2 linked regions of the Rattus norvegicus genome follow. The protein of the gene in region 1 purifies or fractionates together with the protein of each later gene. This does not show direct contact. Links are inferred from orthologs where the notes say so. Each region holds a gene or a part of one and is shown on either strand. Other genes may lie near its edges. The genes, in order: Cstf3 and Cstf2t.

Region 1 (16,082 bases):
GTCTGAGTGTTTCTCCTGCATTTGTGTCTGTGCACTACTTGCATTCAATCCCTGTGGGGGTCAGAAGAGGGTGTTGGGTCCCCTGACACTGGAGTTGTGAGCCACAATGTGGGTGCTGAGACTCAAGTCTGGGTCCCTTAGAAGAGCAGCCAGGGCTCTTACCTGCTGAGCCATCTTCCCAGCCCCATATTTAAAAACTGTTATTAAATATTACCTTTATCTTTGCTTTAGCGCAGCTTTGCTCTAAACACCCCTTTTACTCTATCTCACAGAGTCTCCTCCCTGATCAATGCTCACCATGTTCTCTAGCTAAAAGGACGTTTTCCTTCCTCTCTATCTGGCTCATGTTTCCTGTGAATCCTTAGGCTAGCACAGCCACACAGTGGGATGCAGCAGAATGGCATTTAGAACCCTGCTAGCCATTCTGAGAGGGTAAAATTAATCTTAAGGATAGCCAAGCACATCCTAACTGTCTTTTCAACATGTAAACAATATGAAAATCACAACAATATTTCACGTTATTTACTTTTGTTAGAATTAAATCTCTGGAATCTGGCATTTATGCTGGTTAGCACAGGCACACTCATTTTGCTCGATGACTAATAGTCTAGATGCTCCGAAGCCTCAGAACAGCTCTGGAGCTTTCCCATTCACCTCCACCATTAGACACAATTACTGCTGCCCATATATACATTATATATACCCATGTATACATCAAATGCATGCAAAAGCCCAACTTGATTTTCTCAGTCTTACGAAGGGTATAACCTCACTGCCAGTGGTAGAACTACAGTTAAGTTTACACACCAATCTCATGTACAAGTAAGTGCAAGTTTTCTTAAAACAACTTTCATACGAGATTGTTTTATTTTTTAGATTTATTTTCTGTCTATGGCTGCTCCGCCTGCATAAATGTATATGTACATGTACATGCCTTCTGGATCCCCTAGAACTGGAGTTAGGAATACCCACGAGCTACCATGTGGTTGCTGAAAATCAAACCTGTGCCCTTGCAAGAGCAAACAATGTTCTTTTTTTTTTTTGGTTCTTTTTTTCGGAGCTGGGGACCGAACCCAGGGCCTTGCGCTTCCTAGGTAAGCGCTCTACCACTGAGCTAAATCCCCAGCCCCCAAACAATGTTCTTAACTACTGGGTCACTTCTCCAGGTCTCCCAGTTGCCCCCCCCCCATTTATATATCCTGAACTATCAATACTAATAATAATCTTATGGAGACACACATGAATGGGTACTTACCTAGCATGAAAATGGTTATATTACTATTACTCCAGCAGAGTGGGAAAATAAAGGTGTCAGTGAACACGCTTCTTTTAAAACTTCGCCCCATAACCTCACAAGTAGTTTTGGGTTTGGGGGTTACAGACTTCTAACCCATCTACTGTTACATTACTAGCTGGAGAGGTTTTAAATATCTATTTACCCCTAGGAGACAAGAGATGAGTTGCACAGAGTGGCCAGAGAACAACACAGACAGCTCTGTCTCCTGACGGACACTGCAGCTTCACCAGTTGTGGTAGCTCTTTCCTGATTCAAACCACTCTGGATAGTCAAACAATCTACCATCATTCAGGAAGCATGAATACATGGTCGGTAGGACTGGTGACAGCTTGGTTGGTAGAATGCTTGCTGTGATGGCTTCTGTGGGTTGGTACCTTGACTACATCTGGAATTAACTAAAAGCCAAGTGGCTGGGTATACCTGTGAGAAATTTTTTTCTTTTAACCCAGAGCTATGAGGTAGGGCTGTCCATCTTTAATTTGGACCACACCTTATGGCGGCAGCCTATATAACGACATGGAAGAGGCCATCACTCTTTGCCAGCCTGGTCTCGGTTTTACTGGATAGTCCTTTCCTTTACTGGCATTAGAGCCTATTTCTTCAGGCTTCTGGCACATACTGAGGAGCAGCTGAGACATCCAGCCTCATGAACTTAAGAACTATTGGATTCTTGGACTTCCCTTGGTAGACAGCCATTGTTGGAGAAGGGGACCATAGCCTGTAAATCATTCTAATAAACCCTACACACACACATAAACACATACATGTATGTTTGATTCCCAGCACCCGCATGGCAGCTGACAGCTGACTGTAACTTCAGTTCTAGAAGATTCTATACCTTCTTCTGGCCTCCAAGGGCAACGAAAACATTAGTACATAGACATAACATACAGGTAAAAGACCAGTAAGTGGCTCTTACACAAACACACACACACACACACACACACACACACACACACACACACACACAAACCATGACAGATATTCTGGAATTCTGGAATCAACTTACCATTGAGGTGAGAGAGATAGTCAATATAAGCCAAAACATACTCTGGAATATCTCCATATTTCTTTAGTCCCAATTCAAAAATCTTAAAGGCAACAGATTTGTCCTAGAAGTAAAGACAGTACTGGTTTCTTTGAAATGCCAGACAATGTATGCAAAAGAATCTTTAGACTACAGAATATAATAGGCATGGTGGTGCACACCTATAATCCCAGCAGTGGAGACTAGGAGGCGGGAGGATTGTCACAAATTCAAGGTCATTTTAGCTTACATAGCAAGACACCTTTTCAAAATAAAAACCAAACAAATAAAAAACAATAAATATTCTCACAACCTCTAAATATGACAAAGCACAGAAGAATTAAAATGGGTGAGCTAAATAAAAAACAACCGAGGGGTTAAGTTCGGAATATGAGTTTTATGCTTATACTTCATGGCCAGCCTAGGGAATGAAACAAGAACCTGTCCTTTTAAAGTGAGAAGGCGCTGGGCATAGCTTGGAGGTAGAACTTGCCCAGACTGCTCAAAGCCCTCAGTCAACCCCAGCACCACCATAAACAAAACAAAACAGCCAAGTAGCCAATGTCAACACCTGTCTAAGACATTTACCACAGTTGCTTGTGGTGGTTCACTGCCTGTAGTCCTAGACCTGGGTACTAAAAGCTGGAAGATGGAAAGTGTGAGACCAGACTGAGAAACTTAGTGACATGTGCTTCAGAACAAAACAAAACCCAGTGAACAAACAGGAACAGCCAAGGGGTGACCTGCAGTCGGTCACTCAGCGGTGAGCACTTGCTCATCAAGTTCCAACCCTGAACACTGCCCTCCAACACCCTGAGAAAATATGAGAGCTTATCTAGGATGCAGGAGGCCCTGGGTTCAATCAGCTACAGGAGATGACCAATCAATCAAAAAAGAAAAAAGAAATATGAGCTTAATAAGGCATAAATAAGCAAGCAATTGAGTTGAATAATGTTCAATATAATTTTATGTAGATAAGCTTAAGACCTTTACAAAATGGAGCAATTGATTACTTAAAGTAGAAGGGGAGGGTAAGGAGATTTACTATGTAAATCGCTGGCAGAGAATTCACACTGACATGTGCCTGCCTCTGCCTACAGTGCTGGGATCAATGACCTCATCCTCATGTAAGCAGTGCTCACCTTACTGCAGTAATACTCCATGAGCGCTGCGGTCACATAGACGTGATGACGGGTTCTCGCATCCTCTCTTGCCTTTTTAAATATCATTCTTCCAGATTTGATACCTTCTGCTCTCCTTGCAAATTTCATATATTGGATATATACCTATGAGAAAATAAAATATTTGTATTATATAAATTGGAATATACTCTTCACAGTATCTAGTACCAAGGCACTGAGTTGTAGGCCAATGTTTCTAGTATAAGAAACTACAGAGTACAGTTATAAGCTACTTTCCCCTAGGTGTTAGGGACACGTGCTAATTTTTATTGTGACATAATTTACATAACACAAAATTGTTCTAAAGGGTATAATGCAGTGATTTTTTTCTTCTTTTTATTATCATCAGAAGGTCATACAATAATCACCACTAATCCTTTTTTGTATTTTATAAGATAAAGCTTTTTTGTGTAGCCTTGCCGGTTCAGAACCTGGAATTCCCTCTGTAGACTCCGATAACTATATATTCAAAGATGACCTTGAACTCCTGCTCCTTCTGTCTCCACTTCCCAAACACTGAGATTACAAGTGTGAGCCACAATGCCCAGCAGTGTTTTATTTAGAGGGCCCCAGGATCTAATAAGATATCAGAACAAAGACTCTTGTATGTAACAATTAAATGTTTGCTATGTTAGGTCAGATAATGGTGGTGGGAAAGAGTTAGGTTACTCACCAAGGTGGGGTCAATGTCCTCAATTGCCAGCAGTCTGTTATATATACTGTGAACTTTCTCGTACTTCATGCGACTCTAAAGTGGCAGAGAAGTGAACATAGTATATACTCACAAACGAGCAAATCTGAGCTTTAAGGAACCTGAAGACTGCACTCCTATTCATAGCACACACAATGGCACCAACACTTCACATAAACTCATATGAACTCGAGGACTAACAACTGTTTGTTGTTACCATCTCTGGCTACAAAAACAAAGATGCTACCAGAAAAAAGTTTTAGTCCTGGAGTAAAATTGTAAGCAGTAGATATGAGTATTCACCAAGTTTAGGAAGAGCCGTGAGTGTGAGGGCTATACACACAGACACTGACAGAGACAGACAGCCAGCCAGCCAGGCAGACAGACAGACAGACACACACACGCACGCATGCACGCACGCACACACACACACACACACACACAGAGTTCCGAGTCTGCTGACTCTTCTCACCTCTTCATAATCTGCATATGCAAAGTAAAGGAGCATGTTCTTCTTTAATAAAGTGCTGATGGCTCGTTCATATATATTAGCAGCTTCATCACTAAATAATTTGGCATTGTTCATATCCTAGGAGGAAAAGGATCCTCAGTAAGGTATAAGTAGCTGAAAGGGTAAAGATGGGGCAGCGTGCACTCTAAGACGCACGTGCTGTGAAAACAAATGCGCACTGGTGTTAAGGACTTCTCCGTGTGCTGGGCAGAGGGGAGTCTCTAGGGCTTGAGCCAGGGCCTCTACTGCCCAGCTGCACCCCAGCTCCCATACTTAAGTCAGTTACCATTTAGTGCTTCAAACAACAGTCACTTTGACACAGTTTTAAAAGCCATATTTTAATTCTAAGGAATTATGAGTGTTACTAAAGTTCATCCTGATATAAGTTTAAATATTTCCTTTTCTTTTTTGTTTTTTCCAGACAGGGTTTCTCTGTGTATCCCTGATTATCTTGGTACTGACTCTAGAGCAGACTGCTCTTGAACTCAGAGATCCACAGGCCTCTGCATCCCAAGGGCTGGGGTTAAAGGCGAGTGCCAGCACTTGGCAAGCTTAGATTGTCAACATATACTTCTTATATATAAACTTTTTGGGTTGGGGATTTAGCTCAGTGGTAGAGTGCTTGCCTAGCAAGTGCAAGGCCCTGGGTTCGGTCCCCAGCTCCGAAAAAAAGAAAAGAAAAGAAAAAAAAACTTTTTAATATATTTTGCATATAAAATAATGAGTTTTATTATGGTATTTTCACCCATGTCTACCGCTGTACTTTCCTTATACTCTACCCAACCTTGTCTAGCCTCTCCTCCTACCTCCCAAATAGTTCCCCTCTGAATTTAATGTTACACATGTATGTATTTAAGCATAGACTATATTACACTTTATTACTAAAATTGATGTTACATTTTGTCAGTTACTCTTACTGCTATATCAAAGTCACAAAAGGAAAGAGAGGAATGGGAGGGATACGCACCCCCTTTTCTGCGAGCAGCTTACTCGACTGTTCCAGATACTGGGCAGCTTCATACCAGATATCAGGGTGATGGCCCAGCACAAGTAGGCACTGTTCATAGGCAAACATAACTAGGGAAGACAAACACACATTGCCATCATAATCACCTCAGCTGCATCATTAGACTCAGGCATGGTCTTTAACGATGAGGGATAGTTGGTTCCAACATTTAAGAAGGACATAGTCTACGCAGAGGACAGCCATTATCAAAGTCCTCTGACCACCACCACCACACACACACACACACACACACACACACACACACACACACACACACCCCTATAGGAGACAAACACAGGAAGAAAGCAAGCCTGAGTGACTTCACTAAGTGACTGTTATCTGAAGACCAGAGGGGCAGAAGCTGGTCAATGGAACAACAAAGGGAAGAGTGTATACAAATCAGCAGAGGTTGCCAAAAATGTGACTCGGTGGTACAATTCTTGTTTGGCGTGCAGGTGGTTCTGGCTTTAATTTCCAAGCCTCCAAAATAGATGTAGGCAAAGAAACAGTACTGCCATTAATTAGGTGAACCTGCAAAGTTGAAGAATTCAGTGAGGTGCCAATCCAGCAGTAACAGTGATTTGTACAAAACTAACCCTTCTGGGTGGGTGACGGTGGTGCACACCTTTTATCCCAGCACTTGGGAGGCAGAGGTAGATGGATTTTGGTGAGTTTGAGGCCAGCCTTGACTACAAAGTGAGTTCAGGACAGCTAGGGATGTTAAAAAAGAGAAACTCTGTCTTGAAAAACAAGAAATAAAAAATAAAGCAAAACAAAAACAATGACAACAGAAAAAAACCAAAAAGACTAGCTCTTCTGAGATTATAAACTGAAAACAGAAAGCATCTCTTTGACAGAGCATCTGCTTAGCTTAGCATATACATACATGCTAAATTCCTGGCACTTCTCTATCTTCACCCATGTGTCTATATGTATGTGTCTTCATATACATATATTATGTAATAAAACTGAAGGCAAGCCCCCCAAAAAACCCAAGCCACAACAACAAAAGCAATAACAGCAGCAAAAACAACAGAAACACACACACACACACACACACACACACACACACACACACACACACACACACACCCAGTATTAAGCGCATTGCAGAATGAAGCAGGAGTCAGAGCAGACTGGGCCATGGGCAAAGGTGAAGTTCATATCATACAAAGTCCAAACAGATGATAATTCAACTTCCTTTAAAAAAAGCCCTCAGTATTCTTCAAAGAAGACAACAGAATCTAGTCTTTATTATTCAAACATTCATAAAATGTTTAAAGAAAAAAATTATATGGGTAACAAAACATGAAAAAGTAACCAACAGTTAAAAGTCAAAGGAAACCAAGCTCATGATGGCCCACTGTCTGAAGGGATGATCCAATGAGGACTCTACTGCAATAATCCTACTCAAGGATCTAAAGACACATATAGAGGCTGAAGAGAAGGCGCAGAGAGTAAGAGCGCTTGTTTTTGCAGACAACCTGGGTTCGATTCTCAACACCCACATAGCAGCTCATAACTATCTGTAACTCCAATTCCAGAGCATTCAATGGCCTCTTTGGGTCTCTTAGAATACCAGGCCTATAAGTGATATAAAGACATTCCCTTGGTCAAAACATCCATATATATATATATATATATATATATATATATATATATATATATATATTTAAACATACATACACGCATACAGTTAAAAATTAAAATTAAAAAGCAAAACAAAACAAACACACATTGTGACATATGAATCTCAATAGAGAAATTAAAATTATAAAAATTTCCTGGAAATTCATAGAACTAAAAAGTACAGTATATAAAATGAACAATTTGCTGGATTATTTTAACATCAGATTGAAGATAATAAAATAAGGGGAAACTGATCATGAAGATGGATCTATAGAAATGATTATGAATAAAAAAAAAACACAAGTAGAAAAACAAAAAGTTCAGAAAACAAACAAACAAAAGCAACAACAACAAAACCAACCCCCAGCCTCGTGGTAGTGCATTCCTGTGACCCAGGAAGCTAATACGGAGGTTAATGAGTTGGAGGTCATTGGGGTCTACAGTGAGCTGGAAGCCACTGACCTGTAGAGCAATAGGCAAGAGTGCGTGGGAGGAGCAGCGCCGCGCTGGGCTAATCCTGGAGGCTAGGACTGAACAGCCCCAGACACAGCAGCTGCGGTCCCGGGCTACCCGCCTCACCTCGCTTTGTTATGAGGGTCTGGTCCTCGGTACGCAGGGGGTTGCTCTTCTCCCACTGGATGTACTTCTTCCACATGTCTACTTGCTGAGCTTCTTGAGGGGTATTCTGAGGGGGCACTGAAGGGGCATTGCGGTCCAAACCTTTCATCACTGTCTCGTATTCCTAAACAAGCATTGAAAGGTTCTGATGAGCTCAGACCAACTCAGATATAAAGGGAGCTACTTGATTGGCTGGAAACACTTTGTTTAGACGTTTACTCTCTTACCCCTAATATCACTTTGTTATTGTGATTTTAGAATTCAAGGTTATCCTAAAATACACAGTGGGTTTAAGGCCAACCTGGGCTATATGAGACCCTGTCTCGAGAAACAGAAGTCAAATAACATCCACAAACAACAAAACAAAACACAAGAGTAAGAAAAGGCATAATAGAATATCACAAAACAAATCCAGACGCCTAGGAGTGGTGCACAGAATACTCACAGACTATCTCTGCAGGCAGTGTATGAGGGCCTCTCTGCAGGAAGGGTGATGTAGAAGATAGCACGAGTGAGATTTGGTAGCGTTGTTATTGACAACGTGGCAGAAACTAGTAGCTTTTGTATTATTGGGCTATTTCCCCAATGAATAGAAAGGTATGTATACAGCACAAAATCTGTCCCACAGAGCTATGGTATTTTATAAGTGCACTGACTGCAGAGTAACACAATTTTCAGATAAGCAAAGATGAAGGGAAAGTATCAACTACTTCAATAATTCTATGCAAATCTCTGTTTTGAAAAATATTTTTAGCCAAGCATGATGGCTCATGCCTATAATTCTAACACTTGGGAAGCTGCTGACACAGGAAGAGCATTGTGAATTCAAGGGGAGCCTGGGCTACATCAAGGCAGTCAGCACTACATAGCAAGACTCTGTTACAAAACCAACCAAACAAACAAACAAAATACTTTTTGGACTGGGGATGTGACTCAGTAGTAAAACTTTTCCTAATGTATGGGAATCCTTAGGTTAGATAATGCCCAGTACACACACACACACACACACACACACACACACACACACACACACAATTTTTTCCAAGTCCAACAAATAGTTTGCCATTTAATATAACTTAAATAACTATTTTAATTTAACTATATCATTTTGCCAGGCAAATTGATCTGTATGAGTGTGAGGCCATTCTGGTTTGTTTTATGAGTTCCAGGACAGACATTGTTACATAAAAAGATCCTGTCCTCAATAAAACGAATCAAAACCAAAAATCATCAACTCAGACAAATATCAATTAGCTATAATTAGCTGTCATTAATTAAGACTCAAATGATTTAAAATATCAAGAGTAATACCAGATGGGACAGCTTTGCTAATTATTTTAATAATTCAGTAACATTAAATTAAGTAGCCCATAGAATTTCATACCTTTGCTACACGTCTAGCATTCATGTAGTCTCTACTTCGATCTTCAATCATCTTTTTAGCTAAATGAATATTGATACCCTAAGGAAAAAATATCGTTATTAACTGTTTTTTTTCTTTTCTTTAAAATATCTCTTTACAGTTTTGCAAATCGAACCCACAGCCTCCTGGATGCTAGGCAGCCAGACAAACACTACACTGAGCCTCACGTGCAGCTGGGAAAGAATAAGTAGACTGCATGCAAGACGGCTTAGTAGGTAAAGCTCTTGTCACAAACGCCTGGTGGCTTATGATCCATCTCTAGAACCCAGGTATAAGTAGAGAGAACTGACTCCACACAGTTGTCCGGTGGCTTCTACACATCACAATGCTACATGTGTTCCTTCGCCTCTACATTAGAATCCGCTCTGTCAATCGTGAGTGGGCGATCCAATCCTATTAATAGGACACATCTTTTTTTTTTTTTTTTTTTTTTTTTTTTTTTTTTTTTTTTTTTTTTTTTTTCGGAGCTGGGGACCGAACCCAGGGCCTTGCGCTTCCTAGGTAAGCACTCTACCACTGAGCTAAATCCCCAGCCCAATAGGACACATCTTTATTTTACTTTGTGTGGATGGATGGGTGGGTGCACATACTGTAGCACATGCTGGGGATGAGAACAACTTCCGGCAGTGGCTCCTCTCCTTTTACAATGTGGGGGCTGAGTACTGAACTCAGGCCACCAGGCAGGGCAGAGAATGCCTTTACCTGTTGAGCCGTCTTACTGGACAAGGGTTTGTTTGTTTGTTTTACTTTTTTCTTTTTAAAAAAAATGTGTATTATTGTTTTGCCTGAGCTATGCCTGTGCACCAGTGCATGGCTGGTGCCCATGGAAGCCATGAAGAAGAGCTGGATTCTCTGAAACTGGAGTTACAAATGGTTGTGAGTCACAATGTGGGGTACTGGGAATTGAACCTGGGTCCTCTGTATCCAGTGCTCTCAACTGCTGAGGTAGGTATCTTTCTAGCTCCTAGCCCAGGAATTTTTATAGACATGAAATCATGAGATTCTGTCTTAATCTAGTCAAATCAGTCATTAAGCAAACAATGATAGCTGGCAACAATGTGGACAAAAGGAACAATTCCTGGTGGGGATGTAAATTAATTCAAAAGTCAACACAGATTTCTTTAAAAAGCTACATATAGACCCACTAAATGATCCAGCTATACAATTCTTGGGTAGTGATCCAAAGGACTGAAGTCATCATACCACTGATATACTTGCAAATTAATGTTTATTGTAGTACTATTTAAAAAAATAAATTCTTTATTGGAATAAATATAAAACAACATGTCTAGGAATATATAGTTCAATAGTAGGTCATTTCCCTCATATGCATAAAGCTCAGTGTTTAATTCATGGTGCAACAAAACAAAAGCCAGTAGCAGCAACAGACACTGGGCAACACTAATATTCAGGCACTTGACACTAGAAGCTAGATTCCCTACGTTTACAATAGATAATAATTAAAATGGCCAGCTTGTAGTAAACTCTGGCTTATTTTACCTCTTCATACTTGTTGTAGTCTCTCCAGAGTTGTTCAATGTTGATCATTGGATTAACACAACCTCGTTGATAAACTCTTCGGACAGCAGTTATTCTCTGATTTTCTGCATAAGATCCTACAGCTTCCCTGAAGTTAAATAAAAAGTATCATTAATTGTATTATAGCTAAATCAATTGTTTATATAATAAAAATTAAGACAATACTTACACGCCTTTTAAGAAATTGATGTAATCCACCCAAATCTAAGAAATAAAAAAAAATGTTAATATGTTTTTTGATATTTTTTCATATTTAGGAGTATACCCAGAGTCTCATGCATGCTGGGTAAGTACACTACCACTGAACTATATACCCAGCCCTTGTGTATATATTTAATTGAACTCTACCTGATAGGACATAATTTCCATTCCAATTTTATCCAGTGCAAAGTCATAAGCTTGAGCCATTTTTTCTCTGAAAGGAACATGAAAAATAATTTTAAAAATTTGTTATTAGTTAGGTTTATGGCCCATACCTGTTATCCCAAGAAGCTGAGGCAGGGTCACTACCCTGAGTTAGAGGCCATTCTGGGTTATATAGTAAGTTCAAGGCTAGCCTAGGATATCTAGTATATACCCCATACTACTCTGATACAAAGCAAGACCCTGTTTGAAAAGAAATCAGAAGCTAATCAAAACCTAAAACTACTATCAAACATGTCAGAGAACATCCACTGAGAGAGTATCTGAAGATAGGAATGTCACAGTGCGGAGTTCACTACTAAGTAGCTGCCTTAGACATCCTAAGTGGACATTGTACCATATAATTGATGAGCATGTGCTAAGACAATCATTAAAAAGCTTCTCGAAAAAGTTTGACAAGCCTGTCAAAAAAGTACTATCATGTTGTAAATACACAGTGTTTTAATACAGAAAAATTTGGTTGAGTCAGTTCTCAAGTGTAAGATTAGTGCCTGTGGCTTTATTTAAACCACTTTTCCTGATTTCTTGGAGAATTCTGACTTTTCAAATACTTAGGTTTCTTCTTACCTATAGCTCAGAGCTGGTGTGAGACATGTGGGAATGATTGTGTCTAGAGACCACATGCATCAATACCAGCCACGGCCCAGGGTTTCTCTGTGTAGCCCTGGCCGTCTTGGCACTCAATCTGTAGACTAGGCTGGCCTCAATCTCAGAGGTATACCTGTCTCTCTGTTTCCTCAGTGCTAGGATTATAGGTGGGTACCACTACACCTAGCTCAATATGCATTCTTTTATTAAAAAAAAAGATTTATTTATTTATTATATATAAGTGCACTGTAGCTGTCTTCAGACACAACAGGAGAGGGCATCAGATCTCATTACAGATGGTTGTGAGCCACCATGTGGTTGCTAGGATTTGAACTTGGGACCTCTGGAAGAGCAGTCAGTGCTCTTAACCACTGAGCCATCTCTCCAGCCCTCAATATGCATTCTTAATACCATGATTTCACTTACTTGTAACTTGGCAGTTTACCCTTGGTTTCTCTGACGTATGAAAGATAACACTTCCATAAATCAATGTGCAAAACCTTCATAAGGCATCTTTGAAATAGCTTTAAATATAAGAAAATAGTATCAGCGTCCAGATAAATACATTTCATATTTGCATGAATGAAACAGCATTTAAAATAGTCAGACTTTTCAGGAATTAATTTTCTTATTAATAAAAGGCATATAAGAGGGATGGAGAGGTGACTCTGTGGTTAAGAGCACTGCCTGAGGACTTTAGTTTGATTCCCAACATCTATAAGGCAGCTCACGACCATCCATTACACCAGTTCCAGCAGGTCAGATGTCTACTTCTGTGGGCACCAGGCATGCATGTGGTGCAGATTTTGAAAAGGCAAATAACAATCCTTTCAGTTTAGACAATCAAAATCATGCCCATGCATTTCACAAATATAGTCATTTCCTTTCATTTCCCCAGAACCATAAGTAAATATATAAGTGAACAAATACAATTATTTTTCTTTTGTAATGTTTTCTCAGTTCAAATTAGCATATGAAATAAATTTCATTGAGGCATGTTCATTTTTTGCCCTTATTGACCTTGTCCCTTACTTCTCCTCACCTACACTCCTACTCATTCCCTGTCTCCCAATCGCTCCCTCTGCCCTCATGGCCAGTGTATTCCATACACGTCTGGTTTATTTTGCTTAACACAGGATATCTAGTATCTAGTTTCATTCACTTTCCTGCAAATGTAATGATTCCACTCTGCATATATACTGATTTTTTTTTAATTCATTGGTTGATAGACATCTAGGCTGGCCCATTTCTTCTCTTATGAACAGTATAGCAATAAACATGGATGCATAAATACCTCTATGGTAGGAGTTAGAATCCTTTGAATATATAGCCAAGTCTGGTATACTTGGGTATATCTCTTATGAACAGTATAGCAATAAACATGGATGCATAAATACCTCTATGGTAGGAGTTAGAATCCTTTGAATATATAGCCAAGTCTGGTATACTTGGGCCACATATAGCTATTTATCTGTTTTTGAAACAGGGTCTCACTACATATCTCTGGTCGTCCAGGGACTCTCTATGTAAAACAGGTTAACCTCAAACTCAGACCCAGGTACCCCTGCCTCCCTTGTGCTGGGATTAAAAGCATATGCTACCATACACTGCTGCAGCTTATTTCTCAGGCGGGACCTCGACCTAACATAACTATGTACTAAAAACGACTTCCCAATCTCCCGTCTTCACCTCCCAAAGGCTTGGGTTATAGGTGTGCATTACAAGTCTGGTTTTTATGCAGTGATGGGGTTGAAAGGCAGAGATTAACCATGTGGTCAGCAGTTCCGGCTCCCACTGCTCAGTTTTTGAGAAACTCCCATGCTAATTTCCATAGGGCTGCACGACTTTATACCCAACTAACGGTGTTGAAGCACTTCCCTTTCCAGCGGGACTTAGTGACATCTTTTTCTTGGTTTTAGCCATTTTGACTAGAATAAATTAGAATTTCTAAGTAGCTTTAATTTATATTTCCTGAAAGCTAACGAATTTTTAAGCTTTGAAAAAGGTGAAATATTATTATAATATATAACTACTACCTGGATTCAGAAACTTATATCATTTTACCATATTTATATATCATATTGGTAATATAGAAACTTTTTTTCGGAGCTGAAGACCAAACCCAGGGCCTTGCGCTTGCTAGGCAAGTGCTCTACTACTGAGCTAAATCCCCAACCCCCATAAAGAAACTCTTAAACTTCAAAATATAGTAAAAGAACTTACCTTTTCAACCTTGTCATAATTTTTAGCTTTAATCTGAAGAGAAACATAGGAAATAGGATTGACGTTACTCTTTTTACAATATCAACATACTATTTCTGAATTTTTGACTAATTTTTTGACCATTTTTTTTTTAAAATCAACCTTATAAATCTTTCCTTCAAAATAACAAATAAGTCAGGTATAATGGTACACACATGTGATCCAGAAGTTTCACTAACAGGGCCCACATTGTGAAGGGGAGAACTGGTTTCCAAAGCAATCACTTATTAGCTTATAACTGCCAGAAATTTTTGCTTGGAATTTAGTATACCCGTTAAACTAGCAATTTTTTAAAATTTATTTTTGAGAAATTTATACAGTATATATACATACATATACACACATATATAAGTGTGTGTGTATATATAATATATATTAGATTATAATTACATCATTTCTTCCTTTCCTACACCTCAAAACCCTCTCATATAACCTTCCTTGTTTTCAAATTCATGGCTCTTTTTCACTGTTGTTACATACATATAGATATTCTTAAATAAACACAGCTGCTCAGTCTATTTGATGTTACTTGTATTTTAAGGACTGACCATTTGATACTGGATAGCCAACTGGTGACTCTTCCCTAGGAAGACTACTTGTCTGCTCTCAGCATTCCTTAGTTGTCCATAGTTCTCTGTGTAGGGCTGAGGCCTTCTGAGCTCCCATTCATATCAGCATGTCTATTAGTAGCCACCTAATTAAGCTAATGTTTAGGCAGTCATGTTGGTGAGACCTTATGGGTGCAGCGTCTGACATTCCTAGGAGACACAATCATTCCATCCCTTTTCCCACAACAACCCTTGAGCCTAAGGTCCAGTTGTGTTGATTTATCAGTTGGGTGTGGGCTTTACCTGTGATTGACTCTAGTTTTCTCTGTTGCAAAGAGAATTTTCCTTGATAAGCAGTGAGGACTACACTTTTCTGTGGCTACATGGACACATCCTTAGACTGTAGTTAGGGACTGTGCTGGACTACTAGGTTTTGGCATGCCACTACTGCACTTTAGGGCTATGTGCCATGCTGGTCTTTGTTGTGATTCATAGGCAACATAGCTGGGTAGGAGTGTTGGTTGCTTCCCTCCTTTGGAAGCTTACGTGGTACCTTCTGACACCATGAAAACTAGTCCTCAGGGAAGTGGCTTTCAGAGTAGATCCAACTCAGGGGCTTCTGTCTGAAGTGCATGTTGTCTTTAATAACAGTCTGTTTTGGCGTCTCTTGGACCATCTAACATAAACCTCAACACTCAACATGAGAAACCCTCTTTTGAGCTGTAGGTCAGGGTTGTTTAAGAGACTCCTAAAATATATTTTTTGAGACAGGGTCTCACTATGAACCACCAGCTTTCCTGGAACATTTTCTGTAGACTGGCCAGCCTTGAACTCAGAGATCCACTTGTTTTCAGGGGGCTGGGATTAAAGAGGTGGGCACCATGTCCAGCTACTTAACATATTCTTTTCCACCCCCAGACTCCTCCCATATCCTTCCACCACCCTACCTCATATTTTTCCCCTCTCTCTTAAAAAAAGAGAAAAAAAAAAATAAAACAAAACAGAAGAAAAAAGCCACGGCAAACTATAGAGCCTGGTTTATGTTAGCCAACTAAGCACTCCTGAGTGTGGGGTCTGCCCTGGAGTGTGGCTGGCACACCTACATTGTCACTCCCTCTCTCTATCATTTGCAAGCAGCTTTTTGGTGTGGGAGTGGACTTTGCGCCCACTTCCCCTCCTCTGAGCTGGGATTTTGTCAGGTTGTGCTTGGGCAGGTCTGTGCACCCTATCAGTCTGTGAGATCTATGTATATTTCCCGTTGTGTCTGGAAAATGATACTCCCTTAAAATCATCCACACCTCTGGCTCTTACAACCTTTCTGCCCCTTCCCTTAGATCCC
Region 2 (16,790 bases), on another chromosome or scaffold:
TGCAAATAAACAAGGTGTGAAGGAGGGCAATATACACACAACTACATACATATTCACATACATGTACAGATTTGCATATACAAACAAATACATACACACATACTTATACATAAAGAGACATGCATACAGACATGCATGCATGTGTGCATGCAAACACACACACACACACACACACAATTGGGAGAGGAGGATGGAACAGAGTTTTATGAAATCCAGAAAAAAACCCAGTTCCTTCTTTTCTTGGAGATATCAACATCAATGGCTACTATGCCCTTCTCTGTAAGGCTCTCCAGTTTCACATTGGAAGACCTAATGACTCCTGTGACTGTGTCTCATGTTAGGGCTTAGCAATATGTGAGACTAACTGAGCCCATAAGCACCAAGAGTGATCTAATCTGGTGAATATCCTCATGAGAAGGCAGATGCTCTAAGGCTCTGTCTACACAGAAGCAAGGCCAGGTGAGGGCACAGAGTGAGGGCAGCCACAGGAGAAAGCCCGGCTGCCAGCATTTTCATATTATGCAAGCAAATGTTTCTCTTTGAGCCAACCAATTTATGGCATTTTATTACAGCATCCCTACCAGACTGGTCTCTGCGTTATGACAGGTCACAAGCGAGCATTAAAGTAACCCCCAATGTCACCCCTCTCTGTAGTTGCAGTTGGTCTCTGGATCAGCACCACAGAGCACTAGCTATGACATTCTCATATACACTGCATTTTACATTTTAACCAAATTTCTAACTCTCAGGAGTCTAGTGGAATATGACAAATTTAGACTGGCACTCCTGAAGTAATGTTTTTTGGAGAGCATTCAACTGTGATAAGGAGTCCAAAATATGTCCTGCCACGCTGTCGTTTTATTGGTGATGTTTTAAATCCTGACCCCCAACTAAATGCTTCAGAAAGGCCACTTTCCCATAACTCGGGGTCATGATAGGTTCATTCTTAGGTTCCCGGAGCCCCAGAGGTAAAATACAATCCCATTTATGAAGAGAATAGTTTAGACACTTCTTTGAAGTTGGATCTTTGACTATTCTGCTCACAGAAAAGAATAAAAGCTAAAAGGATCCATGAACGGCTCCTCTTAAACACGTTATCTTCATTCAGCTCCAAACTCGGGCTTGAAGTTTTCCATTCTTATGAGGCTAGTTGCTTTCTCTGTGTTCCCTCAGGTGACAGCTCAAAGCGAGAGTGGCAGAGTTTCTCTCCTTGTCCAATTCGTTCCCATGGTTGAATATCTGCGCTCGTCTGGCAGCGCCTTCTCCTAAGCAACCATCTTAACAGCAGCTTGAACACGACCCCGCACTCAGATAGGTGCTAGACCAAGGCAGTGTTAGCGGAGTCTGCACATTCCATTGTGTAAACGTTTGCACAAGCCATTGGGTAAAGATGATAATTATAGCTAACCAAATATCTGAAGAGAACATCTCATGGTTCACTAAAAGAACTTCATAAACACCACTATGATCAGTAAACCGCTCCCTGAAGAATCCTATGGGATTGAGCCTGAAAATGATTTACGCTCAGCTACAGATGTGCATAGTTGAACAATGTTGCCCATCTTAGAGTTGTCTCTATACAAGTTTAAAATAATAGAATCTAACGACAGACCATTGTCTCTTCAAATCCAGCCCTCTCAGTGACACGAATAAGGCATATCTCAAAATAACATTAGAGTAAGTGAGGTTTGAGCCTCTTTCCACTTAAAAGTCTGCTTTGCATATTACCGTTATATACAAATGCAGAGTGATAATACAGTATGAAAATGATAAAATACAGGTTATGTCTTCAACACAACAATCCAATACAGGTAATAGCATTCTCGCTTGAAAGATGACAAAGCAGAAGTAACGAGAATTAATTTGTCCAAGATGTATGAGTTCTTGTCAACCTAATTCTAAGATTAAAGACTGAAATCTAAACCCCTTCATCCTACTCCCTGAGAACATTGTCTGCTTGGCATAGACTGAAGACCTAGACACAATTACAGATGATGTCAGCAAGCTGGCAGTTAATTCTGGTCCAGGACCTTGTTGTCCTTGTGTTACATGTTCTTAGCCTGTCAATAATAGACTGGTAATTGACTAGACAACATTTGGCTCCATTTAACTTGTAGTCGTGCAGTGGTGTACTTTCAGAGCCTCAGATTTACATAATAGTTCTCTTGCCAACAACAGTGAATCATAAGTGGAATTTACTATTTACTTCCCTCTATGTTCTTTTCATATTAAATGTATTACAAATGTGGGGGAAATATGGCCTCAGAAAGGCCTAATTTGGGATCTGAGAAACCCAGGCTCTTTTATGGAAATGAATTCATAACCTGTGTGACTTGCATGCTTTTAAAAAGCCTTATTTGAGGTTTTATATTGGTCCTATCAATTGAAAAAAAAAGAAAAGAAAACATCTTTCTCAACTGATTCAGTCTTTATATGGTCAGCCCATCAGTTGCCATAGCACTGATTGTCATGTCGAAATTGCAATTAGTAACACTCAGAGCTAATCAGGAAAAAGGCCAATGGAGGCTGTGTCCAGGCCTCGGTAACCCATGACTACTAGGCTAATTGAGCAATAGGAAGCTTAATTTCAAGAGACCTGGTTTCAGGCTGCAGCTTTGCCTCTTACTCTGCATATATGGGCCATTTCTTGACTAGAATGTTCATTTTCAAACTTGATTTCTTGATTGAGGAGTCCCGTGGAACAGTTGCCTGTCCTAGTTAAGACAAACTCATTAACATCACTATGCCTAATTCCAGTTAGCTGTAGCGCAGGACGCTATGGCTGCCTAACTCAAAGACACTTCTAACACATGGCCACCAAACACATACTGTTGCTTTTAGTAGAAAAAGACATTGAGGTGAGCATTGAAGAACAAGAAGTTAAATGTGACGAAATGAATATAAAAACTGGGAAAAGAAGGTGTTATGAATACATGGACAAGGGGGTAGAAAAACAAAGATTGCATGCCATGAAAAATAAGGTGCCCAGGTCAGCCAGAGAAAAGTGCACAAAGTGATGGAGGATGGGTAGTAAACCTGGAGCTACACTGTAGAGGATGCTAAAGGTTGAAAGGCCAGATGCCACACTTAGGTGAAAAGGACTGAAGAGCTTAGCTGGAAGCAATCGAGGTGTGATTGGCTTAAAAAGAAGCCTCCTGACTTTACAACCACAACTGTTCCCCTTGGTCCTGGGAAAGCTGATGCCCCAGTGTAGGGGAATGCGGGGGTGGGTGTGGGGGGTGGGAGGATGGAATGGGGGCTTTCCTGAGGGGAAATCTGAAAAGGGGATTTGAATGTAGATAAAGAAAACAACCAACAAAAAAATGAAAAAAAAACCTGTTTTCATGAATTTAATTTTTAGAACTGTTATACTATGTCCCATCACATGATCACCAGGCACCTTCGCTTCTAGGTCATACAAAACACCAAGTCCCAATGTCACATCTTGGCCAAGTGCAGCTGCTGTCTGAATCGCTTCTGTTCTGTTTGTCTACAGTCGATTGTGAACCGTCCCTCAATACCATTTCCACCAGGAAGCCTCCTTTAGGAATATAGATCTCTCTGGATTACTTTATTCCATTTCTAGATACTCCACCCTGCATATCTAGTTCTTAAAAATAGTATCCTGGAGGAATTATCATCAACCTAAGAATAAGAAAATAGGTGTCCTGGCCGCAGGCTGCTACAATTTGGACTGTGCTATTTAATGTCACTGGTTTCTTTCTAGGTTAAATGGTTTGTTAATACTCAAACTCTAAAGACGTTTGAAATCATTCATTCAAGTAGTGAAGTAACAGGAACTCCCTAGATGAAGCTTCACCACCGCAGCGACTGAGGCTACATGGGTGAACAAAACAACAAAAACAAAACAAACCCAGAAATGAAAAAAACCTCATCTATACATGTTAACTACCATCTGTGTATTTATGGTATGATTCTCTCCCTGAAGTGGAATAGTTCTCCAACTATGACCTTCATTAAATCGCCTTTAGGCCTCCACAAACAGATATCTGTGTTTCTTACAGGAGAGGCATGGGAAACTTTCATTTTTGAGGTGTTTTTCTTTTTACTGGTGAGGCTGATATAACAGTACACAAGACCCATGCAGAGAATTTGTTCTAACAAATTGGTTTTCACACTGCTGTACTGACAGTGTTCGGAAAGATATTTATGGAATAAGAAATAGGAGGCAGATGGTCAAGGGATGAAAAGACCTACATGTTTCCTTGAGTGATTTTGTAGATGCAAAGTCACAATTCTACTAAGAGGCAAATGAATTCATGTCCACAAAAAGGTCCAGATGACGATCCAGTTGCATCCAGAGGAAAATGGAAATATGTTCAACTAACAGGAAGGGGGAGGGACTAGAAAAATAAACTTCGTGGAGTGTTTTGGTTATTTCTTAAGAGACCAAGACAAATAAAAAAATGTCCCTGGGGCTAGAGCTGGGATTACAATTTAGTAGACGACTTGAAGTCCTCAAGTCAATTCTCAGCAGGAAGGGTAAAATGTACCAGACATTTTTCTTCTTCTTTTTTTAAAAGATGATTGTGAGCCACTATGTAGTTGCTGGGATTTGAACTCAGGACCTCTGAAAGAGCAGTTAGTGCTCTTAACTGATGAGCCATCTCTCCAGTCCCCGGCATTTTTCAAAATATCTTAAGAATATGTCTAGATTGGATCTACTTAATCCAGAGTGAATTCTTTTAAAGTGTATTTTATTTATGTTTTGAGGGTCTCGCTGAATATCCATGACTAGCCTTGGAACTAGATATGTAGATCAGGCTGTCCTGGAAGTGTCTCAAATACCGAGATTAAAGGTATGAGCCACCACATCCAGTTTATGATTTTTTTTAATTTAATGTTTTAATACATTTTATAGATTCACAAAGACTACAGCATTTACAATTTGGTATAAAATTTAATTTCTGAAAATAGCTAAAAGGAGAGGGGAGGTCTTACATGTATCTCGGGTTTGCCTGCAACTCAGTAATCCATGCTATCCTTGAGCTCAAAATGAGCCTCAGCCTGTCTTAGGCGTCCATGAGCTTGTGATTCCAGACTCATGACCACCCCTATTATAAATACCACATATTTGCCAAATCTGTCAGATTTGGGTGATTTCGGTGGTCAGTCTTTTTGGTGGAAAACATGTACATTTTTAGTTAAGGCATTTAGTTTTTAGTTTGACTGATAGGTCCCCAAAGTAATCCAGAGTAAGAGTTTAAACACCATTTCTACAAGGGACTAAGGTGACAGTATTTAACAGCGATAACTGTTAAAGTGTTGAGGGTCTCTCTGTGCCATCACTAGCCTGGGACTAGAATAGAGAGCAGGAAGTATCTCAAGTGCTGGGATTAAAGGTGAGCCACCATGCCCAGTTTGTGGTGAATGTTTTATTTAATGTTTTAATACCTTTAATCAGTCAGGTAAAGTCAAAGGCCTGTGGTGTTTGCCTCTAATCCCAGCATCCACTGGGAGAAGCAGGAGGTTTGCAAATTTGAAGACAGCTTGACCTACATGCCCAGTGAATTTCAGGCCACCCTGGCTGCCAAGGGGCACCGTGTTAAAACAACGAAACTAATTTTAGTACACCTGATATCTTAATTTATTGAATTAATTGACAACTGAATGTAAAAATGTACCATATACAGATTTCTTCAAAACATAAGCCATAGCCCTATTCTCTTAAGCCCAGCAGTTGGGAGGCAGAGGCAGGTGGATCTCTGAGTTCGAAGCCAGCCTGGTCTACAGACTAAGTTCCAGGGCTACATAGACAAACCCTGTCTCAAAAAACAAAAACAAAGCCAAGGGGCTGGAGACATGGCTCCGTGGTTAAGAGCACTGACTGCTTTTCCAGAGGTCTGGAGTTCAAATCCACATGGTAGCTCACAACCATCTGTAATGTCTCTCTGGTGTGTCTGAAGACAGTGACAGTGTACTCTAAAAAACCAAGAACAAACCAAAATATAAGCTATGATGTTTTTGGATTTTTTCCAAGTTAGAGCTATGAAAATTATGTATTGGTCATAAAAAAGGCAGTATTCAAAGTATAAAACTGGCAAGAATTTTGTTTTATACATTTCTAGTGCTTAGTCTTCAAAATTCTGAATGCATTTTATTTATACAGAGAACATTGGTTACAATGCTAAACTTTAATTGATAATGCTTGTGTTTATTCAGAATCAATGACATTTTGTCATAGGACAGTACCCTGCGCCCAATGTCTACATTGGTTTAATTGTGCTGGAATTAATTTTAAAAATAAGAAACATTAAAATTCAACTTCGAAGACGCAGAGTAGGAAGACTGCTCAGTGGGTAAAGCACTGCCCCTGTGTATCAAGTTTGATCCCAGGGTAGAAGGAGAGAACCAACTCCTGCGAGTAGCCCTTTTGATCTATATAGTCCACAACTATAAAAGTCACACACACACACACACACACACACACACACACACACACACACACACATCTAAATAAAATGTATTTGTTTTAAAAGTTCTCATTTTATGTAGCTCTGGTTGGCTTGGAACTCAATATGTAGGACAGGCTGCCTTTGAATTCAGTCTTACAGTACTATACTGGGAACCCCGTCCCCCCCCCCCCCGTCTTATTTACACACACACACACACACACACACACACACACACACACACATTATATATATAAAATATATGTACATTATATATGATATGATATACAGTTTAGCTGGGTGTGGTATTGAGTCCCAGTACTTGGAAGGCATAAGCAGAGGATCTCTGAGAGTTGGAGGCCAGCCCAAGCTCCAGGACAGTCAGGATTACATAGAGACCTTGTCAATCAATCAATCCAATCCCAACTACCTATATGTGTACGATAAAAGTTAAATGAAATCGATTCATCCATACTCTGCAGTCATACTTTTTAGTTAATTCCACTTTAGCATTTATGTCGCTTAAAATTCGTAAGAGGAGGGAGGAATGATCACAGCCTGCACACACAGAAGACACCGGGAGGATCCTGGACCTAGTAACAGTTTGAACATGCCAAAGCGTTAATTTATCTTTGCGAGAATTATTTTTTAATGTTTTTAAGATAGTTTAAGGGACAAATATCAACATTTTACCTCAAAATCTTGAATAAGATTTAAAATATTTCAAATATTCTATGCTAAACGAAATCAGCTGTGTAAACACACGTATCAGTAATTAAAACATTAAGCCTTAAATCAGCTTCCGGTTGGCGGTTTCCCGCAGGTGAAACGCAATGAAAACCGCCCCCAATGAGCCGAGACGCTGATGCTGCCCGTAACCATAGTGAAGTCCGATCGGCCATTTTTAATGAGGTCAGTTCTAATGTATCCGGCGACCGCAGGAAGGGAGAGAGGGGGGCGGAACGCGGGGGAAACTCGACCAATAGGATCATGGAAAGGAATCCCACTGTCAGTAACTAGGCGCGTAAAGCAGAGCGCACGGCCGGGGGCGGAAGGTGCAAGATAAATTAGTCCGGTCTCAGGAAGCAGTTTCTGCGGCCTAGCGGAACTATGGATTTCTAGCAGAAAGATTTCGGTCCGGAGTTTGGTGTCTGCTTCCGTTACAGAGCGGAAGTGTGGTTCACCAGAGGACGACCCTTGGACGAATTTACTCTCCGCTAAACGCTCGGCAGGAATCATGTCGAGTTTGGCGGTCAGAGACCCAGCCATGGATCGATCACTGCGTTCGGTGTTCGTGGGGAACATTCCGTATGAGGCGACGGAGGAGCAGTTAAAGGACATTTTCTCGGAGGTTGGTTCAGTTGTCAGTTTCCGTCTCGTCTACGATAGAGAGACAGGAAAGCCCAAGGGTTATGGCTTCTGCGAGTACCAAGACCAGGAGACTGCGCTTAGTGCCATGCGGAACCTCAATGGGCGAGAATTTAGTGGGAGAGCGCTTCGGGTGGACAATGCTGCCAGTGAAAAGAACAAGGAGGAGTTAAAAAGCTTAGGCCCGGCAGCCCCCATCATTGACTCACCCTATGGGGACCCTATTGATCCAGAAGATGCTCCAGAATCGATTACTAGGGCAGTCGCCAGCCTGCCCCCAGAGCAAATGTTTGAGCTGATGAAGCAAATGAAGTTGTGTGTCCAAAACAGTCACCAGGAAGCTCGAAACATGCTACTTCAGAACCCACAATTGGCGTACGCTCTGCTGCAGGCACAAGTGGTGATGAGAATCATGGATCCAGAGATTGCACTGAAAATTTTGCATCGTAAGATCCATGTCACACCACTGATCCCAGGCAAATCACAGCCTGTCTCTGGGCCTGGCCCTGGTGGGCCTGGTGGCCCTGGTGGCCCTGGCGGCCCTGGCCCCGGCCCTGCCCCTGGCCTCTGCCCAGGACCTAACGTCATGTTGAACCAACAGAATCCTGCCCCTCAGCCTCAGCATTTACCAAGAAGACCTGTGAAGGACATTCCTCCTCTGATGCAGACCTCGATCCAGGGCGGAATTCCAGCTCCGGGGCCAATACCAGCTGCAGTTCCTGGACCTGGACCTGGTTCCTTAACCCCGGGAGGAACCATGCAGCCACAGGTTGGCATGCCAGTGGTTGGTCCAGTGCCCTTAGAGCGAGGACAGATGCAGATATCAGATCCTAGACCTCCAATGCCTCGTGGACCCATGCCTTCTGGTGGCATCCCTCCTCGAGGACTACTGGGAGATGCTCCAAATGACCCGCGTGGAGGAACTTTGCTCTCAGTGACTGGAGAAGTAGAGCCCAGAGGCTATATGGGACCACCCCATCAGGGTCCTCCAATGCATCATGGTCATGACAACCGTGGCCCTGCCTCACATGATATGAGAGGAGGACCGTTGGCAGCAGATCCCAGAATGCTGATTGGAGAACCCAGAGGTCCCATGATGGATCAAAGAGGTCTACCTATGGATGGTAGAGGAGGAAGAGACTCTCGAGGGATGGAGGCCCGGCCCATGGAAACGGAGGTCTTGGAGCCACGAGGAATGGAGAGAAGAATGGAGACCTGTGCAATGGAAACCAGAGGGATGGAAGCAAGAGGCATAGACGCAAGAGGACTGGAGATGAGGGGCCCTGGCCCTAGTTCCCGAGGTCCGATGACTGGTGGGATCCAGGGTCCTGGCCCCATTAATATGGGGGCAGGTGGCCCTCAGGGACCTCGACAGGTTCCAAACATTGCAGGAGTGGGAAATCCTGGAGGTGCCATGCAGGGGGCAGGTATACAAGGAGCAGGAATGCAGGGGGCAGGTATGCAGGGAGGAGGGATGCAGGGGGCAGGCATGCAGGGAGGAGGGATGCAGGGGGCAGGCATGCAGGGAGGAGGGATGCAGGGGGCTGGCATGCAAGGAGCCAGTAAGCAAGGTGCGGGCCAGCCTAGTAGTTTTAGCCCGGGGCAAAGCCAGGTAACTCCTCAAGATCAAGAAAAAGCAGCTTTGATCATGCAGGTTCTTCAGCTGACTGCAGATCAGATTGCCATGCTGCCTCCTGAGCAAAGGCAGAGCATTTTGATTTTAAAGGAACAAATCCAGAAATCTACGGGTGCTTCTTGAAAGGTTTTCAGCTAAGAAGTACTTAGTTATTCCTTCAGGGTTTACTCTGTGGCATGAAGTGGGTGCAAAAAGCTGTCTTCTGTGTTCGCACACTTTAACCATTTAAGGTTTCCTTCTCCCCAGACCTTAAATCTTATTTCTAGTTTTGTTACTTTCTGTTTTCCTTTTTATTTTTTGATTGAGGGGAGGGGGTGGAGGGGGGGGGCCTGTTTACTTTGTCACTGTTGACTCTACTGGGTACCCTAAAAATGACTACATCATACAAAATAAGGTTATGAGGAAAATGCGGCAATAATTTGCACTTTTGTTAACTGTGTTTTAAAAATACTGAGTAAACTGGGAACTACATAAAAATTGAAAGTGGCTTGTTACAGTATTGATATACTAAGATAGTTTAAAGTTCTTTGGTTGTATATTGAACTGAATGTCAGAATGTTAAGGTACACTTTTTGGTAAAAGAAATTACTATATTTTGGAGGCAGCAGAGTACTGTAGTAAGGTTAATGTTTAGTTATTTTGGAATTATTTTGAAATATTGGAGCTAACAGTTTGTGGTGTAGATGTGTGTTTTTTTAAAGCATTGTTATCTGTAAAAAGATAATTTTCATTTATCTGACTTTTTTTTTTTTGAGACCATTAATATTCTTGCCTGATCCCAACTGGTAATTTTGCAGGATAGTTGTAGTGTCAGCTGAATTACATAAAACCTCCTTCTTATACATTTCTCTAAAAAATTCTTAAGGCCCAAGTCTGGTTGTAAGTAGTTTTTTCACATCCTTTTAAAGAATCAGACATGAGGTTTGACTTTCTTGAGTAATGGAGGTTTTTGGGGTTTTTTTGTTTTTGTTTTTCAGTAAAGCTCCCAAGTTCTTGATAACCTACTATCCATTCACAGATGGAATCCATTAGGTCAGCAAGAACCAGAAGTTAAAATCTTACTCTATGCCTTTTGATATGTCTTACAGTTTGATAACTTTCACAAACTACTTTTCTATCATCACCTTGCTAGAACTGGGGCCCAAGTGAACTGACAACTCTGCTCAGTTAACTTAATATGTTATTTCTCACAACTCACAAAAGCTCTTTGGTCATAACGTAGTTCCCATGAAGTGTGTTTGAGAATAAGGAATGTGGAACTTAATCCATTTCTTTTAGAGCTACTGTATCATTTTCAATCAATGTGGCACCTGGACACGGTGTCATATTTAGATAATGAGCAGAAACAAGCACAAGCTCCCACTTGACCAAGTGGCATTCCTCTGTGGAAAAATAAATACCCACCTACAGAGGGATGAGCAGCCTTAGGGAGGGAGCTGACCCAAGGTTGTTTTCCCTTGCAAAGTTTGAGCATTTTTGAGTGTACAGAGTTTTCATTCCTAGGCTATTTTCCAGCCATTTAGTTTTTGTGCTAGTGTTAGACTCCTGTGGTTTCCTCTGCCTCCTATGCTGAGGTGGGTTTGTGGTCTGTACCTTTGTGCTAGTTCTGACTAATTCCAATTGCTTGCTTCTTTCGAGACTGCAGTTGCTAGCCCAAAACTTCTTACAGTCTTTGTTATAAGAAAATCTCTGCATTGTTTCATGAAAATTAAATAAAAAGGTTATATAATTAAGGTATTTTGTACGTTTTATTTAATACATTGGGAAATAACTTTTTACGAGATACATGCATGCATACATCTGTAGAAAAAAGTGAAACTAGGAAACCGATGGATACCTTTAATTATTGTATATGTAGTTCAACAGTTGGAATACGAGGAAGATACTGCTAGTCCGTTGTGACACCTCCCACATCAGACATGGGTGTCCTTTGGAATACTGTGTTCAGGTTTCTTAAGCATTGACAGCATTGTACTAGAAAGGATTGTGGTCACTTTACTGGAGGGATTGTGTTTACTCAGAGCCCCAAGTTGTAATAGGAAACGGCGTGGGAAACACCTTACTCATTTGAGTGTACACTGCAGTAAAACAGATGGAAAGGAAGGGTAAAACATCCAGTTTTAGTTGGAAAAGAAATTTCATTAAGAGCAAATTTATCCTCAAAGGACTTAGATTCATCACAATACATAACAGCTCTTTGCATTAAGATACAAATTAGAAAAAAAGCACTTGTATTCTTCAAAAAAAGGACTTCAGGGTCCTCCTTGGCTATGTGAGGGGTTGTTTCTACCCAGGGCCACATTAGTCAAAATACTTTCTCATTTCTAATTAAGAACTTAATTCTGGTATTGATACAGAAAGTAAAGGGCCTTGGTTGATTTATAGGAGACTAGTTCAAACTGTATCTGGTACACGAATTTGTTCACAGTATCACTGAAGGTGACGGAATGTGACACTGATAACCAAACTTTCTTTAGGGCTTTTTACTCTCAGGCATTACATGCTTTGAGGGATTATATCATGATTGCCTGTCACTAAGTATCTTCACAATAGCCTTTTCCTTCCCCTGTTACTAATGAGTGCTGCACGGGTGTGATTTTCTAGAGCTTGTACATTGGTATGGAAGGGATACACTGATTGGCTCTGGCAAAGGTGAGCTAGTCTAAGTGAGATTGTTCCGGGACTGGAATTTTATTGGTAGAAAACATTTCTGAAAATGTGTATCCCAGCTTGCAAATCTTGGTTTTCCATGCTGTGATAGAACATTAAGAAAGCTTGCAGAACCTCATTTCCTATGGTGTGTCGGGCTTTTCTCTTAGGTCTAATGATGTCTTAGGACAATTAGGAGCAGCCACCTACTGTGATAGGGAAACTGAATTTGCGGTCACATCTGAGTCCTCACAGAGAATGTTAGCCCCTGCATTATTTCCCTAGCTAATCTAAACAGACTTCTTCAGTTGAAACGTGTTACTCTCATCGGGGTATTAATCACAAACGGCAAGAAGTGATTTCTATTGAGGAAATCATTAATATATTAAAGCTATGTCCGTAAGTGATATTTAAGTATACATTCTTGATGTATAGTATTTTTAAATACTTATTTTAGATCTAGCAATAAGATCTTGTTATTCTTTTGTGTATATGTAAACACTCTGAAGTGCTTACTGGCTTGAAACTCTTTGAGACAAGTTCACACTATCAAAAAGTAAAAAAAAAAAAAAAAAAAAAACCAGTAAAAACCATACATTGTAAGTAGTAGGGTAAGAGAACCCAAGTAGTTACCAACTGCATAGGGAAATATTTCTTTATAACTGACTTGACTTAAGGCCTAAAGGTGGGTAATTCAATAGGTGGTATAAAATACACTAACTCTGATTATAAATACTTTAATGATTCAGTATGTATAAAATTTATATGCATTTGGAATGAACTTCAGACTATCCAAAAATTGATTTTTTTTTCCTTCCTAAATCTGCTAGGTTAGTGATTTGTGGTCTGCCTCAGTAGAATGAATAATACTGTAGACATAGAGAAATGAAAACTGTTTCTTTCTAACCATGGTGTCTCTCTTAATTAGCTGTTTTAACCAGAATTCTGTCATTACATGAAAAATCTATAAAAGCGTACGGACCATTTTACGCACACATCTGACCACAAACCTCACCTTACTGCCTGCAGTTAGTGTGAAGCAACTTAGACCAATTTTAGAATCCATTTACAAGCTTCTTGTGGGCATTAATAAGGTTTCAAATTAATCTTCCTCAGAAAAAAATTAATTGGCAATAACTCAGTTTTCAACTCCCTTCGTCTTAAGCATTAGCTGTAATAGAACTTGAAATGTGTATCAATTTAAAAAATAGCACGCCTGAGTTAATGTAATGGGACTTTATCGGCCTTGCATAGGGTATTAACATTTATAAAATAATACTTTATATCATAGGTAACATTCTCACGTTAGATCAATATAATAGCATCCAGCATGACTAAAATATTGATAGGTAGAAACAAAATTAATTGCCCATTAGAATTTACCTCATTGCTTTAAGCCGATACCTAACATGATTAACTTTTTAGTCAGTGATGAGAGAAAAGGGGCTCCATCCCGTCTTCTTGTCAGCAACAGAGAAAAATGTGCTAGTGAAACACCTGGGATAGTTACTGAGTTTATTACCAAAACTTTGTCTTTCAAAACCTTCAGGCACAAACTATTGAATTGGTAGCCTGTCGGCCAATTGAACCTGCACACAGGTTTTGCTCAAAACATGTTATTTTGAACGTGTATGTTTTTCCAGTCTTGTGACAGATTCAACCTCTTCCTTGAGTTACAAGGAGTTACAAGGCTGCCAATCGATCCCTGTAATACTTGGGACTTAACAACTGTATTCTTTAGTGGAAATACATGGCTATTAGGGTCCATTAGATTCATTAGTGTCTAATTTGACCTGTATGAAATAAGAACTTGTTTGGCAGGTAGGTGGCTTATCAAGGTTATTCCTGTAAACACAACCAACAAAATAGCCCAAAACAAACCAAAATGATCGCAAAGGCTAAAAATTGTCAATATTATAGATTTTCTATATTAGCCAAAGAAATCCCCACAAGGCCTGCCCAATAATACATACTGTTCTCACAAACCTTTTGAACCTTTAATAAATATTTACCCCAAATACCTATATCTTTTTTAAAAAAATATTTTTTACGTGTGTGTGTGTGTGTGTGTGTGTGTGTGTGTGTGTGTGTGTGTACATATGGAAATCAGGACAATCTGCGGGAGCTGTTTCTCTTCTACCGTGTGGAACCCAGGGATCAAACTCAGGCAGTCAGCCTTGGTGGCTAGTGGCTTTACCCAGTGAGCCATGTCACTGGCCCACTTCCTTTCTTTTGATTTGTCAAGCGTAGTTACCTTCTCTGAACTTAAGTATTTGCTGGGGTTGAGCTGCATTCTTCCATCCTTTACAGAGCAGATTGATCTGTGTATACAGGACACTTGATGACTGCCATTCATGAGGTACTCATTATTCCCCTGTTACAGTTATATCAACTGTGTTGCCCCCAAATGCCTATTTTATTTATTACTATAATATGCAGATGTGAACGTGGGCTGTAGTGGTACACACCTTTAATCTCAACATTGGGGAGGCAGAGACAGGCAGATCTGTGGGTTCAAGATGTTATATAGTCCTTAGTCTAGGTAAATAATGTATACGTAAACTATGCTGCAAAAACACATGATTATTTCTAAATCCATATGTGGGGGCTGGAGGGATGGCTCAGTGGTTAAGAGCACTGACTGCTCTTCCAGAGGTCCTGAGTTCAATTCCCAGCAACCACATGGTGGCTCAACAACCATCTGCAATGGGATTCGATGCCCTCTTCTGATGCATCTGAAGACAGCTACAGTGTACTCATAAATAAATAAGTTTTAGAAAAAGCAATCTGTATGTGTGTATGTATCACACATCAACTGTGTCTATTACATCAGTTGTGTTTTACTGTAAGTTCATACCTACTTGTGCTATTGATAATATCGATAAGACACAGGTATGTTGAATAAGTTTTGACCTAAAAGGTTATTTCTATGAAAACTTACAAAAGATTTTATAAAATTGGGCTAAAAATAAATGTTAAATTCCTCCAGGGGCGAGATCACTTTTTAATTACTTTAGCAGAGCGAGATAGCACATGCCTTTAATCCTAGCACTCTGGAGGCAGGGGTGGGCAGATGGATCTGTGGGTTGGAGGCCAGCTTGGTCTACACAGAGAGGTTTGGGAGGACAGTCAGAGCTACATAGTAAGGCCCCCGTCTCAAAACAAAACAAACCAACACACACACACACACACACACACACACACACACACACACACACACACACACACATTATTTGGGTAGGTAGTTGAATCTGTCTATCTGTCCCTCATTTCAATTGAAAGCAATTTTGAATTTTTAACAAATCATGTGAAACCTTCAGTTTTCTCAGGAAGTTTTCAGTTAATGAAAGGGAAAACCCCCTCAGGAAATTTTAGGGTTGGTATTAATCACCAGCCCTCCCTCTCCACAGGGATTACTCAGGAAAGACAGCAGCTTGTCACCTTTCTGGCCCTCCTCCCTCCTGCTATCCCTGGGGTTAAATGCTTCAGCAAATGGGATGTGTTTTAATCTCTCCCTCCTTTAAGTGGTCCTTGGATGGGCAGCCTGGGTATCACCTGGGGGCATGTTGGAAATGAAGAATCTTGCCTTTCATCTCAGATCTGCTGAGTCAGAATCTACATTTTAATAAAGTCTCTGGGGGGACCTATAGCTAAAAGTTTCCTAGGCAAAACACTGCCTAAAAGTAATTCTAAAATAATAAAACAAAGTACCATAAAGACTACTATTAGGAGAAATAGGTTTTAATTTACCCAGTAACACAGAAAATCAGATTAGGAGGGGAAAATCCCTCCCCTGTCAGAGGACTATGTAGAGGGGACATTTCAGCTAGAAACTATATTTGAACAAGTAAGCACATGAACAGAAACCCTGTTTGTTTATGATAATCATGTAAGCACTGGCCCTGATGAAAAACCCAACATAAAATCCACAGCTGACGTTGTTTCAGGAAGACACTTGCGTGTATTGAGCCAATGTATGTGACCCTTTCATTTTTCTCCTGAGCAGAGGGGAAGTTATATAAAAATTATGGAAATAATACATTTATATTTTATTATATATTATCACCTGAAACATTGTACATGAAAAGTTGTGATGGCCATGTTGTGCCTCCTCGGGATGGATCATATCTTTCATAAATTTATGTTATAATACCTTAATTTTCCTTCACTCCAGCAAGTCTTTACTGTTAAGATAAACTACCCACAAAAAATGCTGACCTCGTCTTAGCACATGACATTCCTCTTCCTAGGGGCCAGGGATATTTCCTAAGAGTGTTTCTCATACCTTATCCCCTAGGCAATGGGAGCATTTGCAAAACTGTAAGGTCATTTTGCTTACTATTCAGTGAGCATTAACTGTGACAGAAACCAATCACCAAGCGCAGTAAGTATTCTGAAGTATCAAAAGGAGCCGGCCAATACAACTTGAACCGTCCAAGGATCAGCCTGCTATCTGATGTAATCTCTAAACTCTATGTTGCAATTTGTGCCTTTCTTTTTTTTTTTTTTAAGATTTATATATTTATTACATATAAGTACAATGTAGCTGTCTTCAGACACACCAGAAGAGGGCATCGCATCTCATTACAGATGGTCATGAGCCACCACATGGTTGCTGGGATTTGAACTCAGGACCTCTGGAAGAACACTCAACGCTCTTAACCACTGAGCCATCTCTCCAGCCCCCAATTTGGGGCTTCCAAGGTAGTCTTTGAATCTTACAT

What was found.
Region 2: the proteins of Cstf3 (region 1) and Cstf2t purify together in Homo sapiens (co-immunoprecipitation; 4 studies listed by BioGRID and IntAct, counting the BioPlex papers as one, with this or other methods). This does not show direct contact. The link is inferred for Rattus norvegicus from reciprocal best matches to the Homo sapiens genes CSTF3 and CSTF2T.

Annotation. Positions count from the first base shown.
Region 1 is NC_086021.1:111,473,857-111,489,938, reverse strand, and holds part of Cstf3 (cleavage stimulation factor subunit 3), read right to left. Parts: intron 14,190-16,082; coding exon 14,157-14,189; intron 12,458-14,156; coding exon 12,360-12,457; intron 11,338-12,359; coding exon 11,271-11,337; intron 11,153-11,270; exon of another isoform or gene 11,127-11,152; coding exon 11,092-11,126; exon of another isoform or gene 11,011-11,091; coding exon 10,884-11,010; exon of another isoform or gene 9,603-10,883; coding exon of another isoform or gene 9,484-9,602; intron 9,423-9,483; coding exon 9,345-9,422; intron 8,085-9,344; coding exon 7,922-8,084; intron 5,785-7,921; coding exon 5,675-5,784; intron 4,786-5,674; coding exon 4,669-4,785; intron 4,254-4,668; coding exon 4,179-4,253; intron 3,611-4,178; coding exon 3,467-3,610; intron 2,410-3,466; coding exon 2,307-2,409; intron 1-2,306. UniProt on the Homo sapiens protein: One of the multiple factors required for polyadenylation and 3'-end cleavage of mammalian pre-mRNAs.
Region 2 is NC_086019.1:238,358,461-238,375,250, forward strand, and holds Cstf2t (cleavage stimulation factor subunit 2 tau variant), read left to right. Parts: upstream 1-7,581; 5' UTR 7,582-7,650; coding exon 7,651-9,540; 3' UTR 9,541-11,148; downstream 11,149-16,790. UniProt on the Homo sapiens protein: May play a significant role in AAUAAA-independent mRNA polyadenylation in germ cells. Directly involved in the binding to pre-mRNAs.